Regions from separate parts of the Mus musculus genome. Here all the other regions are reported to be linked to region 1. Evidence: microRNA targets listed by miRTarBase, many of them from high-throughput screens and not tested one by one. Region 1 holds a microRNA gene; each other region holds the end of a gene's coding sequence. Distances are between the middles of the regions.
Evidence for each region. Region 1 holds the annotated microRNA mmu-miR-1942 (UCAGAUGUCUUCAUCUGGUUG, at 1,514-1,534, opposite strand). A microRNA usually pairs through its seed, bases 2 to 8, with sites in the 3' UTR of a target mRNA and lowers its output. Matches are read on the target gene's strand: a 7mer-m8 pairs with bases 2 to 8, a 7mer-A1 pairs with bases 2 to 7 and ends in A, and an 8mer does both.

Region 2: the mRNA of Arl6ip6 is a reported target of mmu-miR-1942. Seed matches in the 3' UTR shown: 7mer-m8 at 1,903-1,909.
Region 3: miRTarBase lists Rapgef3 as a target of mmu-miR-1942. Seed matches in the 3' UTR shown: 7mer-m8 at 2,467-2,473, 7mer-m8 at 2,369-2,375 and 8mer at 2,260-2,267.
Region 4: the mRNA of Dusp2 is a reported target of mmu-miR-1942. Seed matches in the 3' UTR shown: 8mer at 2,873-2,880.

Annotation. Positions count from the first base shown.
Region 1 is chr15:76,214,108-76,217,922 of GRCm38, forward strand. Mir1942 (microRNA 1942) reads right to left here and starts at 1,566; the gene lies at 1,504-1,566. It also overlaps a transcript of Plec not described here.
Region 2 is chr2:53,216,767-53,220,581 of GRCm38, forward strand. Arl6ip6 (ADP-ribosylation factor-like 6 interacting protein 6) reads left to right here. Exons shown (of 4, transcript NM_022989.4): 4 at 529-2,455. The coding sequence ends at 622. Among named protein-coding and RNA genes, the nearest start is that of Arl6ip6, 27 kb to the left of the region's middle.
Region 3 is chr15:97,742,779-97,746,593 of GRCm38, forward strand. It overlaps Rapgef3 (Rap guanine nucleotide exchange factor (GEF) 3), which reads right to left. Exons shown (of 28, transcript NM_001177810.1): 28 at 1,992-2,888. The coding sequence ends at 2,770. It overlaps Gm33531 (predicted gene, 33531), which reads left to right. Exons shown (of 4, transcript NR_168677.1): 2 at 716-809; 3 at 2,002-2,090; 4 at 3,048-3,691. Among named protein-coding and RNA genes, the nearest start is that of Gm33531, 3.7 kb to the left of the region's middle.
Region 4 is chr2:127,337,234-127,341,048 of GRCm38, reverse strand. It overlaps Dusp2 (dual specificity phosphatase 2), which reads right to left. Exons shown (of 4, transcript NM_010090.2): 3 at 3,581-3,800; 4 at 2,672-3,468. The coding sequence ends at 3,254. It also overlaps a transcript of Astl not described here. Among named protein-coding and RNA genes, the nearest start is that of Astl, 2.5 kb to the left of the region's middle.

The DNA of each region.
Region 1 (3,815 bases):
TGGAACACTTCATGAGTTTACATGTTATCTTTGCATAGCGGCCATAGATATTCTCTGTGTTGTTCCAATTATATGTGCAGCTGAAGTGAGCAGTTCAAACTTGTCTGGATAGAGGGCTGGGGATGTGGATCAGTGGAGCATCAGCCCAGCACACAGGGACCCTGGATTCTACCCTCAGCACTGGAGGCTCAAGGGGAGGAGGGTGTTTTAAAAACACAAAACAAGAAACAGGTTTGAGTAGAAAAATCATGAAGACCAGAAGTTCAAGGTCATCTCCAGCTCCATGGAGAGTTTTAGGCCCCTCTAGGCTAGCGTCACTGTCTGTCTCGGAAGAAAAAGGAAAAAGTGTGTGTGTGTGTGTGTGTGTGTGTGTGTTTGTGTGTGTGTGTGTCGTCATTTAAATCAAATATCAACAGTAGAGAGTTAACAGTCTTCCTCCAATCCTGTCCCTTTGTGATCCCAAACACAGTGTGAAATATAATCACTTCCTGTTCCTCCGGTTTCCTTATGGTAAAAAAAAAAAATCAAGCAAACACTAATTGGAACTTGATTTTCCGTCTTTTAACGTAAAATCCTACATACATGCTTTGACCCTGGCTTTCCCATCAACCCTGTACCATGGTGGTCCCTCACACGGATCGGTAAAACACATGACCCTTGCTTCCTAAGTAGGCACACAGGAAGGGGGGCTCTTGTTTCCTGCTTGTATACATGTTACATCTGACGGACACCTCCACACATCTGTTTGCCATCTCCTTAACAAGGCTCAGAGGTCCAGACCTCTGGACTTTTACCAACACAGTAACTGCAATTTGGTGTGAAATTTTGAAATTTTTGAAAATCTGAAATGTCAACAATAGTCACAGACATGACAGTGACCCTGACACGAAGCTCCTCACTGTACTAGTCTCCTTTTAAAGTATTTATTTATTTATTTATTTATTTATTATTTATTTATTTATATGCGTGTGCTGTACAGTGGAAGTCAGAAGACTTGCCCCCTCCTTCTACCATGTGGGTCCTGGGGATGGATTCAAGCCATCAGGCTCAGGAGTGCGTGCCTTTACCATCTGAGCCATCTCATCTATAGCAGTTTATTTAACAACAACAACAGCAGCAGCAAACAAACAAACAAACAAACAAAAAAAAAAAACAAAAACAACTACTAATAACCTCGATGTTCTAGGGGAGGGAAATGATTTAATCAAAAATGTGTCCACTGCACTGGTCTGAATATGGTTTGTCCCCACGAAAACTCTTGTTGAGGCTTAACTCCTCCAGGTAAAGGGATTGAGGCAGCAGACCTTAAGCGAAGTAATTAGCTGTTTAAGAAGGATTAATGTAGTCTCACAGGGGTGCTGTCCCTCCAGGGACGGGATTAGCTCTCAGAGCAGATTGTTCTCTGTGCGGCTGGATCTTCCCAGGATCTCTCTTCCACAGCTATTAGCTCCCCATGTGCTGCTATTTACCAGGCTCTACTGCAGCCCAAAGCCCCTCCCTCCTTACAAGAGGCCAACCAGATGAAGACATCTGAGGTTAGATGTCTAACATTAAATAGGCCTCTTCTCTTTATTCAAATATCCAGTCTCACCAGGCAATGTTGACACATGACTTTAATCCCAGCACTTGGGAAGCAAGGCCAGCCTGATCTACAGAGAGAGTTCTAGGACAGCCAGGGCCACACAGAGAAAACATGTCTCAGGGGGAAAAAAATTTACAAATATGGGCCAGGTGTACACCAGTTAGGTGTAGTGGTACATGTCTTTAATCCCAGCATTTGGGAGGCAGATAAACGAAGTTCAAAGCTAGCCTGGTCTAACATAGTGAGTTCAAGGATAGCTAGGGTTATGTAGAGAAACCGTTTCAAAAAACTAAGTTTCAAAAGCCTGTGCTGGATAGATGGCTCAGCAGTTAAGAGCACTTGTTGCTCTGGGAACTGAACTTTGGATCCCCAATTCCAAGGGATATGACAGAGAAACTCAGTCTCAAAAAAAAGAAAGAAAGAAAGAGAGAGAGAGAGAGAAAGAAAGAGAAATATATATATATATATATATATATATTCTAAAATTTACAGGACACCTTTGTAGGGAAATTTTTGGAGTTTTTGTTTCTTTAAAGACACAGAAATATTATAAGACTATGTTTTCGTTTTAATCCCAGGTGTGGAATATGGGGCTGCCTCAGATTGTCCACAGCAGCTGACTATGATTTGCCTCATGCTCTAGCAGAGGCACGACTTTGCCAGCTGCAGGTAGTTTCTGTAATTGTGTGGTGCCACATTTGGAATTCTGGGACTTTTTAGAGTGTATATAAATGCTAGGGCCCCAAGAGGTGAGGCGTTATTGGTGGGTTGTTGTGTGTTGTTGGTCATGGTTTGTTAAGTAGATGTGCTCAAAGAAGAAACAACAAGAAGAAATTAGATATACTGATGGCTACCTAATCAGCAAGAAGTAGTCTGAGATAATGTTCTCTTTCTGACTCCGGACTTTATCCAGGATTTCTTTCCTTTCCTCTCTACCTATTTTTCTTTCCTATCTAGTGTTGCGGGGGGTTGAAATGGTGAAAAGGGGGGGGGGGAGTCAAAGAAGAACCCACAAAGTAGCAAAAGACAGCTACACACCTTATGTAGATAAAGCCCTAGTTGACTGGGTTGCAGAGATGGCTTAGTGGTTAATCACATTTACTAATCTTTCAGGGAACCCATGTTCCCAGGACCTACATGGTGGCTCCAGCCATCTAAAACTCCAGTTCAGGAAGAGCTGACACCCTCTTCTGGCCTCCGAGGGCAGCAAGCATGCAAGAGCTGCACACACATACATAGGGTAAAACACTCATACATTAAAAAAATAAAATTCCTAGTGACTAAAAAATAGATACAACGGTCTAAAGTACTTCCTAACATTACATCATAAAGCCACAAGGAAAACGCAGTAATAAATGTAGGGCATAAAGAAAACATGCTTAAGACCTACATCAATCAAATATTAGAGGGCAGTCTGAAGCTGGAATTAAGTGGTGGGCTCCCAAAACATGTCTGTGCCCTTGAAATTCATAAATGTGACCTTCCTTGGAGACAGATCTCTAATTAAGAATCCATTCTGAATTATTTAGGTGGTCCGAAGTCTAAGGAAGAGTGTCTTTATGAGAGAGGGGGAAAGACACAGAGTCTGAGACTGGGAGGAGACAGAATATGCCAAGGAACAGGGCAGCTGGAGGGATGGCAGATTCTTCCAGAATGCCTCCAGGGAGGACCCCACCAATACTTGGGTGTTGGGCTTCTAGCCTGCTGTGGTCTCAAAGGACCAAGGAAATTGATGTGGATAATATCATGAGATATGGAGTGCTGCTGTCACAAATATCTGAAAATGCACACCTGGAGGGAGGGTGTGGTGGCACACACCTTTAGTCTAGCATTTAGGAAGCAGAGGCAGGCAGATCTGAGTTTGAATGCAGCAGGGATACAACCAGTACATAGCTAGTCCCAGGTCAGCAAGGGATGTATAGTTGAGACCCTGTCTCAACAAAACAAAACAAACAATTCAAAATGTGGAAATGGCTTAAGATTTGGTAATGGAAACTGCAGGATTTTGAGGCATATGAGAGAAAAAGCCCAGAACTGCCTGACTAACTGAAATTTAGAAAGATGGAGGAGGGAATGTGATGTAGTGGCACGGCACGGCCCCACCCCAGCTAGTTTAAAGGCCAAGACAGGAAGATAACTTCAACCAAGGAGCAATTAAGGTATCCTGGGTAATACAGTGAGACCAACATTTAAGAGAAAGAGCGGGCGGGGTTGGGGATAATAAGCTTAGAGA
Region 2 (3,815 bases), not on the chromosome of region 1:
GCCTTTGTTCAGATGCCTATGGATGTCCTGGAGCTGGTATTATAGGCAATAATGAGCCACCCAGTTTGGGTGCTGGGCAGTCCACTGGAGGAGCAGGAAGCTCTTTTAACCACTGACCCACCTTTTCAGTCCCTACGAAGACTTTTAAAAGAGAATTTAAGATGGATAATCCTGTACAAATCCTGCAAGTGTCCAGTATTTTTTAACTTATACACTAATGTATAAAACAGGACAACTAGCCAGGCAATGGTGGTGCACACCTTTAGTCCCAGCACTTGGGAGGCAGAGGCAGGTGGATTTCTGTTTGAGGCCAGCCTGGTCTACCCAGGACAGCCAGGGCTACACAGAGAAACACTGTCTGGGGGGGGTGGGGGGGGGAGGTGGGGGGGGGATATGACAACTCATTGTGATATCTTAAGTATTTTAGTATTTACTAGTTTTATTTTAGATCTTACTCGTTTTCTCATACCAAATTACATGTTCTTTTTTTCCCTTTTCTTAATTTGTGCTCTTTCCCTTTTTCACTAGGAAACTGACTGGACATTCTTTCCACATGGGCTACAGCATGGCAATTTTGAATGGTATTGTCGCTGCTCTCACTGTGGCATGGTGCCTCATGTAAACCTACACTAGAGCAACGTTGTTGGTGAAAGTCATGATGGTTTTTGAAGTAGCAGAAACGAAATTGCTGACTCAGAAGACTTTGAAATGTGATCAGATACTTACTATCATCATTATGGAAGACCTTATAGAGGGCACTTCTTCAATGTATAAGATGTTTACTTCATCTTTTTACTTTTGTTTATGTAGTTTATCAGTTACAGAAAATATTTGAATTGAAATCAAACTTGGAAACTTGAATACATGACATTGCCTACCTTTCTATGTATATTCCATTTTTTACTAACAGATACTGATATTTGTGGTTGAGGTAGAAATATTTATATACTATATTAGGAAAACAGTACTGAGGCCAAGTGTGTTAGCAAGACCTTCAAGCCCAGCATTTTGGAGACAGAAGCAGGTTCTGTGGGTTTGAGGCTAGCCTGTAGCTGCACAATGAGATCATTTCATAAAAAAGAAAACAATTCCTATTCTTTGACATTTTGTAGAAGCTACATAAATCAGAGTTTTTGATAATCAGTAGAATGCATATGTGCATTTATATTTTTGTGGAGTGTACCTGGGTGTCTTATAGATTTTTATAATACTGCATTTGTGTTTTAAATGATTACATTTATACCTATATGGCTGTAAATTTTATTTCTTAGCTGGTGTAGACCTGTCCTTTAGTATTTTGTCTCTTCAAAAAGAATTAAAGTACATTGACTTGAGTTTAAGATTAAGTAAATATATTTTTTAACAAAAACATACTACAAATTCAGGGTAAACTATTTGTTGTTATAATGTTAAGAAATTTGAGACTTTTAGCCATTTCTATTTTCTACAATTGAAAGTATTTATTTTGATGTATATATTAGGGTAGCAAACTTGTACTATTTCATTTTTAGTAAATGAAAACCTAAAAATTTTGTATGTAGAAATGTTTGAACTTGTTTATTTTTAATCTCGAGTATTTAGTTGCCAAAGTAGAAAAGGTATTTTGATACTCTGTATGTGTACATATAATTTAACTGTAATATGTATGTTGTAATATATTATAGATACTGTACTTGTCATATCAAGGGTTCTTGTTGTTATTAATTAAGCTTTAAATGTTTCTCTGTCTTGCTTGCTATTTAAGTATGTAGAAAGTCACCTCAATCTTAGAAAGTTGTGTGGTTTACACAGCTGTTTGTCCTGGCTGTAGGAAAATTTAGATTAGGAAAACATTGTGTAGTCAGTGTGTATTCTAGCTAAGTGGCAAGTGAGTGTGTGTGTGTGTGTGTGTGTGTGTGTGTTACATCTGCAGTCCTACTGTTGTTACTACACAAGGGTTCTAAAAGTCTCAACATTTTCTCTATATTCTCCAAAAAAGGTCATTTCCATTTAATTGGAAATGGCTAATAATGTTCCAATTAAAGTGAGTGATGAAGAGGGACATAGATAGATAGATTCTTACTAAATGCCAGTCTCATGACTTAATAGCCCTACTAATTATGCTTTTTAAAATGATTGTTCTTGTTGTTTATTGGATTTTTCATACAATATATTTTGACTTTATTCTTTTTACACGATTCCCTACCCCCAACTCTTTCTATATCATCTCCTTTCCCTCCACCTCCCACCCATCCAACTTCATGTTCTATCTTTCAGGGGGAAAAAGAAATCTGTGTATTTGAATTAGTGTTTTTTTTTTAATTCTCAGGCATCTTACATTCTTTCTTCTACCTTTCCCTTAAAGGACTCTTTATTACAAAGATATGTTCAAATTATAAAATTATTTTATCTCCTCTCTACCTGTGTAAAGCCCCATTCCCATTATCACCCCAATTAAAATGGCTCCTTCCACTTCTTTGTGTGTAATGGCAAGGTTAAAGTTATTATAGTCGATTTTTCAGACACAAGGTAGCCACCTCACTTATAATGTAGATACACAGGACATATAATACACTATTTCTCTAGAACACTATGTCTTATGAACTAGCAGTCTCCTTTGGAATATATCCCTTCATTCTCCACACCTACTGTTAGGTTTCAGTATAAACCATGTATGAGGAAAGTGATGGCCTGAGGTTACTTTTCTTAGACCAAACTCTTTCCTGTTCAGTGACTGCAGTAAAAATAGAGGGGTGTGATTCAAATCAGCCAGTTTCTAGGATTTTTTTTTTTTCAGGTTGATTCTAAGTTCTTAAAACTGGGAGACAGGATCCCATGAAATGCTGGCAACCATGTGAACCAAGCATAGTACAAAAGGATAAAGGTGAGATGAATACTGCTAATGATATTCTCCTGACTCTTGAAAACCTATTGACCACCTGCCATGCTTGAAACTTGGTTACAGTGTTTTGATATATTTGTTTCTGCTGTTTATATAGGCTTTTGTCACTTGCACCACAGAGTCAAGATGGTGTCACCTAACAGAATCATCCAGCTCAATTAGATGTCCCTGTGAGTGTACCTATGTCACTGTGACTGTACCTGTGATTGGTCTCAAAGACTTCAAAGGAGATATTAGTGTCAAGCCAGCTACTGATTTTACTACTTCATCAGGAATTTTGTTCCCAAATTGAGTTAGACATCCTTTAAATGCTACCACAGTTTTGTATTATCAGAAGTTAGTCTCTACTTATATAAGTATTGAATCAGTATTGAATCTAATATTTAGTATATTAGTTTCCCAGTTTTTCTACCTGCTAAATGGAAAAAAATACTAAGCTAAGACATTTCAAACTGAAAACGGTGCAATAATGTCTGTAAGACCTGGTTAAGACACATAATAGAATTTGTAATTTCAAATATATTTATTAAGACATGAGCTGAAACTAATGGAACTAAGAATAAATAGCAGGACTGGGCAAAACTTTCAAGTAAACCTTTATATACATAAAAACCAGAAAGATTGAGAATGCAAGCATGTTATGAATAAGTATAGTATGGAATTTTATGTCTGTATATATATGTGTGTGTGTGTGTTACATGTATATGTATCTGTATATATATACACACATACACACACTATCAAATACTAAAAATGGATTCTTTGAAAAATAGAACCCTGGTTAATTATATTTAAAGTTTCAGTGTATTTTTACATTTCTGTTAACTTTCTTGACATGTTAGTTAGAATCCTATATCTCAAGTAAAACCATCTGACCATGGAAAATAAGACTTAATTGGCATATCTAGTTGCCCAGGACCCAAGAAGATATTCG
Region 3 (3,815 bases), 22 Mb from region 1:
TAGACACACATGCAGACACACAGACACACACAGACACAAACACACAAACACAGAGACATACACACACATACACAAAGACATACACACACACACACACACACACATACACAAAACACACAGATGCACAGACACACATACACACAGAGACATACACAGACACAGACCTACACACACACACACACACACACATACACAAAACACACAGATGCACAGACACACATACACACACACAGAGACATACACAGACACAGACCTACACATACATACAGACACACACATATATCCATAACACACACACACAGAGGCACACAAGCATGCACAGACACACATATACACACAAACGCAGAGACACACGCACAGTCACACACACACTTGGGCCTGGATACATGGTTGCTCAGCTCTTGTCCACACACACTCACACGCCTATGCTCTACCTCTTTAGGTGACAGGTTTTTCAAAGGCTAGCTCTAGGGCTTTCTCCCTTGTCTCAGCAGACCTGTGATCTTGGTCTCCACCACCACCCACCCATACGCACCCTGGGCTTCTAGGGAGCAGGAGCAGGTTCCCCACCCTCTGCCTGAACACCAGGAGCCTGCTGCCACGAGGACTCTGTACTCTGAGCCTCCTGTCTTCCAGCGGTGACCTGGCTCGGACATCCACTCCCCAAGTCTGTGCTCCCTGCCTGTCCAGAGAGTTCTTCTGTCTTTCCCATCAGGCTCAAAGAGGTCCAGCCTGGGGTAGAATGGCTAGGAAGCTGCAGCTTGTCTAAGCTGGAAGACCCACAAGGAGCCCAGACTTCTGATCAGAAGGTAGGTGTGTCCAGCGAGGAGAGGACAACGTCTGTCTCATCGCTGGGCTGGTTTCACCCGAGTCCATGATGGGAGCAGAGCTGAGACTGACAGGCATGGTCTCCACTGCCACACTGACAATGGCTGGGAGGACAAGAATGCTCCAGGGACTCTTTCCTGACTCACGGATGCTTAGGCCTGATTTCATGATTGCTCAGCTTTGGTCTCTTCCATCAGATCTTCCCTCCCTGCCCACGGGCGAGGGAACTGGTTTGGTCATCCCTGGCAGTCAATCCATCCCGAGAGCTGTGTCAGACTCTACTCTGGGAGATGCAGCTTGTCCTCCGGGGCCACACACACAGGACTGGGACAGTCACTCTGGGAAAGGCAACACCTGCTGTCTTGTTTGTCACTTAACGACCAGATATCATACCCATATTACAGATGGACAAACGAAGGCCAAGAAAGACCATTGGTACACCTGGGTTCATTAGACCTGAGGTGTAAAGTCCTTGCCAACAGCTTGGATCTCTCCTGGGAGCCCGCTGACATGACGTCAGAGTGAAGTGTCTGGCAGTGTGGAGGCCAGGGGGGGAGGAGTGTGTCAAGTCTGAGCCTTGCCACTGCACCCGTAGGACAAGAACAGGGCTGCCCCAGCTGCCTCCGGCCCGCTGCTGTGAGCAGACCTCCTCAGACACCTGAGAGTCCTGCTGCCTGGAGTTTACACAGGGTCATCCTAGAGGCTGGGAGCTTTCAGATCAGATGCGTCTAGAGCTGCCAGGCTCCCAGCACGGAGAGTAGAGAGGGCAGCAGTCCTCTGTGGAGGTTCTAGGCCTGGATCTGTGTCCAGGCAGGGACTGAAGAGGCCGGGAAAAGAGGGCCTTAACCTCCACAGCCCATGTGGGATGGGGGGGGGGGGCGTTGGGGGGGCAGGACACTCATCGCCAAGGTGAAGAAATTGGTTAGGCCTCCCAGTCTTCTGTCTAGTCTCTTCTCTCACCCCCTTGAGGCCCCTGCTCAGCATCTGACACCTAACAGGATCAGGAGCTATCTGCTGGGAGGGGAAAATAGAGGATGTTAGCTGCAGCTGGACTCTCATAGTGTCTCTCTCCGTCTCTGTGTATGTGTGTGTGTGTATATATATATATATATATATATATATATATATATATATATATATATATATGGTTTTTTTTTTCTTTTGTTTTTTCAGAGAGCTGAGGGTCCCCCAAGTGCCTGGGACAACACTGGAGCCCATCTGAGCAACCGCTAGCCTCCCTGGAGCCCAGCCCGAGATAGATGGTGGGTGTCTGCTTTTCTGTACCCAGGGAGCAACCTCCTCCACCAGCTTTCCCAGCCACACACCCAGGCGGTAGAACACACACGTATCTTTGTTAATTTATGGAAACAATACAACTCCTCTGAGACCACCGCTCTAGGCAACAGCCCTGCCTACACCCAGCTGTTTATCTCAGATGTGTGGAGAGAAAAGCAGAACTCTCCACCCTCTCCCAGGCAAGGCCCCACCCAGGGCTCTCTCACACACACACACACACACACACACACACACACAAACTGTGCAGATGTGAGCTCACTGGCCCCAGTGAAAACAAGCACGAGGCCTGGCGACCACTGGATGGTACAGCTGCACGTACAGTCGTACAGACTTGCAAACATGCAGATGTACAGACGTGCAGATGCGCAGAAGGCCCGGTGGGAGGGCTCTCTACTGATCCAGAGTCCTGTACCTCCCAGCTCTCCTACCCACGGCATGGCCTCAATGTCCCCCCTTTCCTTGGCCGTGAACAAAGATCTCCATAGCTGACAGTCATCACAGGGACAACTGCCCCGACACTGCCCACTCCAGGGCCTTGAGTCCGCTCTGTGGAGAGCCCTGCCCAGCTGTGGCTGGCCTCTGGACCTCTTGGTTGCACAGGCTCTGGCTTCCTCGGAGAGAGTGCCTGCTCCAGCCAGTCCTTCCTCATGGTTCCAGCTCCCGGGAGAGGCGGGACAGTTCCCGCTGGTTGTCAATGACCTTCAGCTGCTGGACATAAGCCCAGGTGCTGGCTGGACTCCGGGTGCTCAGGGACTGCTCAGAACCTGGAGGAAGGGAGAGCCATCAGAGAAAGAGAGAGAGAGGTGCCATGGTCAGGTCACCACGCCTACCTCTCTCTCCGGGGAGCAGCCTCAGCTCTCTCCCCTCCCCTACCTCACATCCTCTCAATCCAAGTCCCCAGACTACTGTCTCTCCCACCACAGAGTCAGGAGGGCAGTGGATGCAAAGTCTGAAGAAAGAAGGTCCCTCCGCCCACCAAGATCTATCTCAGCATAGTACCCCTTCTCTGGGTCAAAAGGAACTAAAACAGACTGGATATGGTGGTGCGCGTTTATAATCCGGGAGCTTCCGAAGCTGAGGCAGGAGGATGGAGAGTTCCAAGCCCTGTTTCAAGAAACAAGAAATGGCCAGGCATGGTGGTGCGTGCCTTGACTCCAGCACCCAAGAGGTGGAGGCATGGGGATCTTTAGGAGTTTGGAGCTAGCCTGGGCTACATAATGAGTTCCAGGCCAGCAAAGCCAAAAAGTAAAGCAAACAAAAGCTGGAGGGATAGCTCAGGGCATGAACTGCTTGTCCTAATAACTTGTCTGTAATTCCCATGCTGAAACAGTCAGATCGCTGGGGCCAGTCTGACAGCCCAGGACACTTGTTAAGTTCCTGGCCAGTGAGAGCTTGTCTCACAAAGAAGAGAGAGCGGCTGCCCAAGGATGACCCCCCCCCCCCAAGGCTGAGGCTGTTCTCTGCCCACCGGCCCTGGTGTGTCCTCATATGCAAATGGCTGGCATCCAACCTCACACATACGCACAGGTGTATACACACATCAATAAAAATAAAACTTGAAAAAAAAGTTCCTTGTGATACGCGTGACGCATGCAGGTGTGAGATAAGGCTATTTTTTTTTTTTTAATGAAAACACAGGAAATAGCTCAGGCTTGGAATCTCAGCCTGGGCCACGAGGCAAGACCGTCTCA
Region 4 (3,815 bases), not on the chromosome of region 1:
TACCTCCTGAGTGCTGGGATTAAAGGCATGTGTCACTATGCCCAGCTATAAGCTTTTATTTCAGAAGCCATATAGGAAAGTACACAGGTTGCAAGACTCTGAGAAACTTCACACTGAACACCAGCATCATCAGCACCCAGAGACGCCCCCCACTGCAGAGGGGACACTTTTGAACTCTTAGACGCTCATATGACTGTGGTCCTTCCAATGCCACTGCCCACTGACATGATCGGCCAGGGCCCCTTCCCATTTCACTAATTCAAAATACAAAGCTCCCAGACTTTCTTCCTTTACATCCTGCCATCCAGAGACCCGGCCTGGATGGACAGCCTGGAACATACCAAGTCCACCCCCATGTTCAGTAAAGGAAAGCCAGAGCTCCACAAGGACCTGTTGGCATTCTTGCTGAGCCTGGGGCAAACATCTCTCAAGAAGTAGAAGCTAGAGCCAGACAGAGGGGCTATAATAAAAGCAGATGCTGCTGATGCCTGAGCAGAATCTAGACTGGTTTCCAGGAATCCGATGGATATGCTAATTATCTTGACCAGCAGACTCATTCCTTCACAGTGCTTATATATGTCAAAGCTTGTCAAGTACCTTAAACACTCCATTTTTTTCCCATTAAAAAAGAAGATGCCAGGGGTGGTGGCGCACCCCTTTAATCCCAGGATGTGGGAGGCAGAGGCAGGAGGATTTCTGAGTTTGAGGCCAGCTTGGTCTACAAAGTGAGTTCCAGTACAGCCAGGGCTACACAGAGAAACCCTGTCTTGAAAAACAGAAGAAGAAGAAGAAGAAGAAGAAGAAGAAGAAGAAGAAGAAGAAGAAGAAGAAGAAGAAGAAGAAGAAGAAGAAGAAAACGACGACATGAGTTGTCATGGTGGTTCACACCTGAAATCCCGTAGAACCGATTGAAAATTAGCCTGGGCTACATAGTGAGGGGCCATCTCAAAAATATATTTAAAACAATGACCTAACTACTTAAATGTGCTTACTAAAATCATTATCATCACATTAGTGGAAAATCTCATACACAGTATTTGGGAGGCAAAGGTAGGTGGATCTCTTGTGAGTTTGAGGTCAATTTGGTCTACATATTCAGTTCCAGACAAATCAAGGCCACATAGTAAGACTGTCTTAAAAAAGGAAAGGAAGGAAGAGAGGGAGGAGAGGAAAGAAAGAAAGGCCATTTGCTAGGCAGGTAAGATGTTAGAAACACAGAAGGGCAAGGAATAGGTCTAATGGGACCGCCAGCAACCAGCCATGCTATGTATAAGATAATGAAAGGTTAATGACTCTGGGACGCAGGTGTCCACCCTGAGCTGGGCATCAAGTCCACAGGTCCCAATAGAAACTGGTAGGGTTGCCTGCCTCATGGCCTGGTACAGGCGGGCACCAGTACAATAAACAGATATAAGATGAATAGTGGGGAACATAGAAAAACTAAGCAGTGTGTGTGTGCTACGGAGAAAGGCGAAACTGGAGATGTGATTGATGGTGGTGACGGATGAGAGAGGGCTGGTGGACACGCTGTCATTGCCCAGGAAGGTTGGCAGAATGGCAGCCTGGAGCTTATGCTGATGCAGACTCAGCTCCCCAGACCTTCTGCCTGGCCTTGAAATCCCGCTAGCTCTGAGCAACCATGGAAGCCCAAGATGAAGAAAGGTTTGCTTTCTGGATTAGACCACCTTAAAGGTTCAGGAAGTCATGTTGGTATCTATAGTCCATGTTGCTGCCCCAGGATGGAGATGCAAGTCTGTGCCTCTGACTAATGATTTGACGTCCCTGGGCTTTGCTGCCTGGGGTGGGTGGGGAGGGGGGCTCAGGTGGAAGCATGTTGTTGCGAGCGGCATTTGTAGCCACCTGAGGCCATGTTGTAGCACCTGCCCAGGGACAGCTGCTGTGAGCCATGAATAGGTTAGTGGCTCTGATATGGCCAGCCCACTTGATGCCTGTGGTTACCACTAAGGCAGGCTGCCTGAAAACACGTTAAAGTCTGTGGGTGTGGGTGTGGGAGAGCTGGCCCCGCCCCTCACTGGCTCTTCCTCAGTTGATGGCTTCTGGTATGGAGAAAGGCTAAGAAAGACTCCTCCTCCTCCTCCCTGTGGGCCACTAAGAATTCAACCATGTTCCAGTGAATATATGGACAAAACAAAATGGACTTACCTTTTCCTTTTGGGGGGGCAGAACATCCTGGGGAGGGGAGGGAGCAGATGTGGGAAAACTGGGAGGTGAGCACAATCAGGGTGCTTGATGTGAGATTTCCAAATAATTCATTAAAAAAAAAAAACTGATACAATTCCTGAGGAAGGCTCAGAACAACCCTAGCTCTTGAGTGCTTTACCCAGAGCAGAGAAAATGGGCGCCAGGGGTAGGTTATGCACCCTTCATCCAGGGAGCCAGTGCCCTCTGATCTAAATGCCCTCAGTCAACACATACCTGCACACCACACACTAGGTAAATGTGGGGTCTGATCAGGGATGCACAGAGCCGCTGTGAGGCTGAGGCCGACCTCGGCCTTCCTAACCCTCCCAGTTCAACCACAGGCTAGAACCTGTATGGGAAAGAGCCCAGCCCAGGCCAGCCCAGGCCAGCCCAGGCCAGCCCAGGCCAGCCCAGGCCAAGGCAGACCACTCAGCCATCGCAGGCACAGACTTGAGACCAGACAATGTGGTACTGCTCTTTTTTAAACAAAACACTGTTTTTATTGACACAACCTCAATGTTCTATATAAATATAAAGTGCTGTTTCCAACGCCCCTCCCTGGCCCACAGGGCCGGGAGGAAGTTGGGGAGAGAGCGTTAAATGTCAGTTGAACACAAATAACTTTTCAGCACCAATTACAGCGAGATGCCCACACACACACACACAAAAGTCAGATGTCCGTAACATGACACACACGTCACTTCCTGGCTCCCCTGGGAGCACAAGGCTTAAGCTTTGGGTCAAGGGCTGCACACCCCTAGACATGGTTTCTGCTTGTCACAGCTTGTTTTCTGAGCCCTTGGGTGACCAAGGGCTTTAATATAGTAAATTAATTAATTAAATTAATTTCTGCAAGTCGAAGGAGGGAGAGCAAATAAGGGCCAGCCCTTATGCCACCTCAGAAGAGCACCATATCAGAGCAGCCGTCATCCTGGATTTCCTAGCACCCCAGTGGGACGGCAAGATGAGGAGGGAGGAGCTGGGCCACAGCAGCTTCCCCCAGGAGTCAGTCAAAGCCAGAGCTGTGGGTGGGGCCAGGCTGGGCTTTGCCTCAGTGACACAGCACCTGGGTCTCCAGCTGTAGCAGCTGCCCCATGAAACTGAAGTTGGGGGAGATGACTCCCCGACGTTGCTTAACAAAGTCAAAGGCCTCGTCCAGCCGTACCCGGTGGCTCTGAATCAGGTATGCCAGGCAGATGGTGGCTGAGCGAGAGATGCCAGCTTGGCAGTGCACCAGCACCCGGCCCCCACTATTCTTCACCGAGTCTGAAAAAGAAATGTGGAGCCGAGAGTCAGACAGGAAGGTGGACAGAGGAATCAGGTGCCTGTACCTTCTCCCCTACAGTTCCCACAGAACCCTGGGCTGAGGCTCCCCTACCTATGAAGCTGATAGCCTCCTGGAACCAGGCACTTATCTCCACCATCTGGTTATCTTCTACTGGAATGCTCTTGTAATGGAAAAGACCCTCAAAGTGGTTGGGGCAGCTGGCAGAGACATTGAGAACTGCTGTGATGCCGCAGGCCTGCAGGCCCTGAAGATCTGAGGAGTGGTTGCAGCTGCCCAAGTACAGGTAGGGCAAGATTTCCACAGGACCACCCTGGAGGAGGAAGGG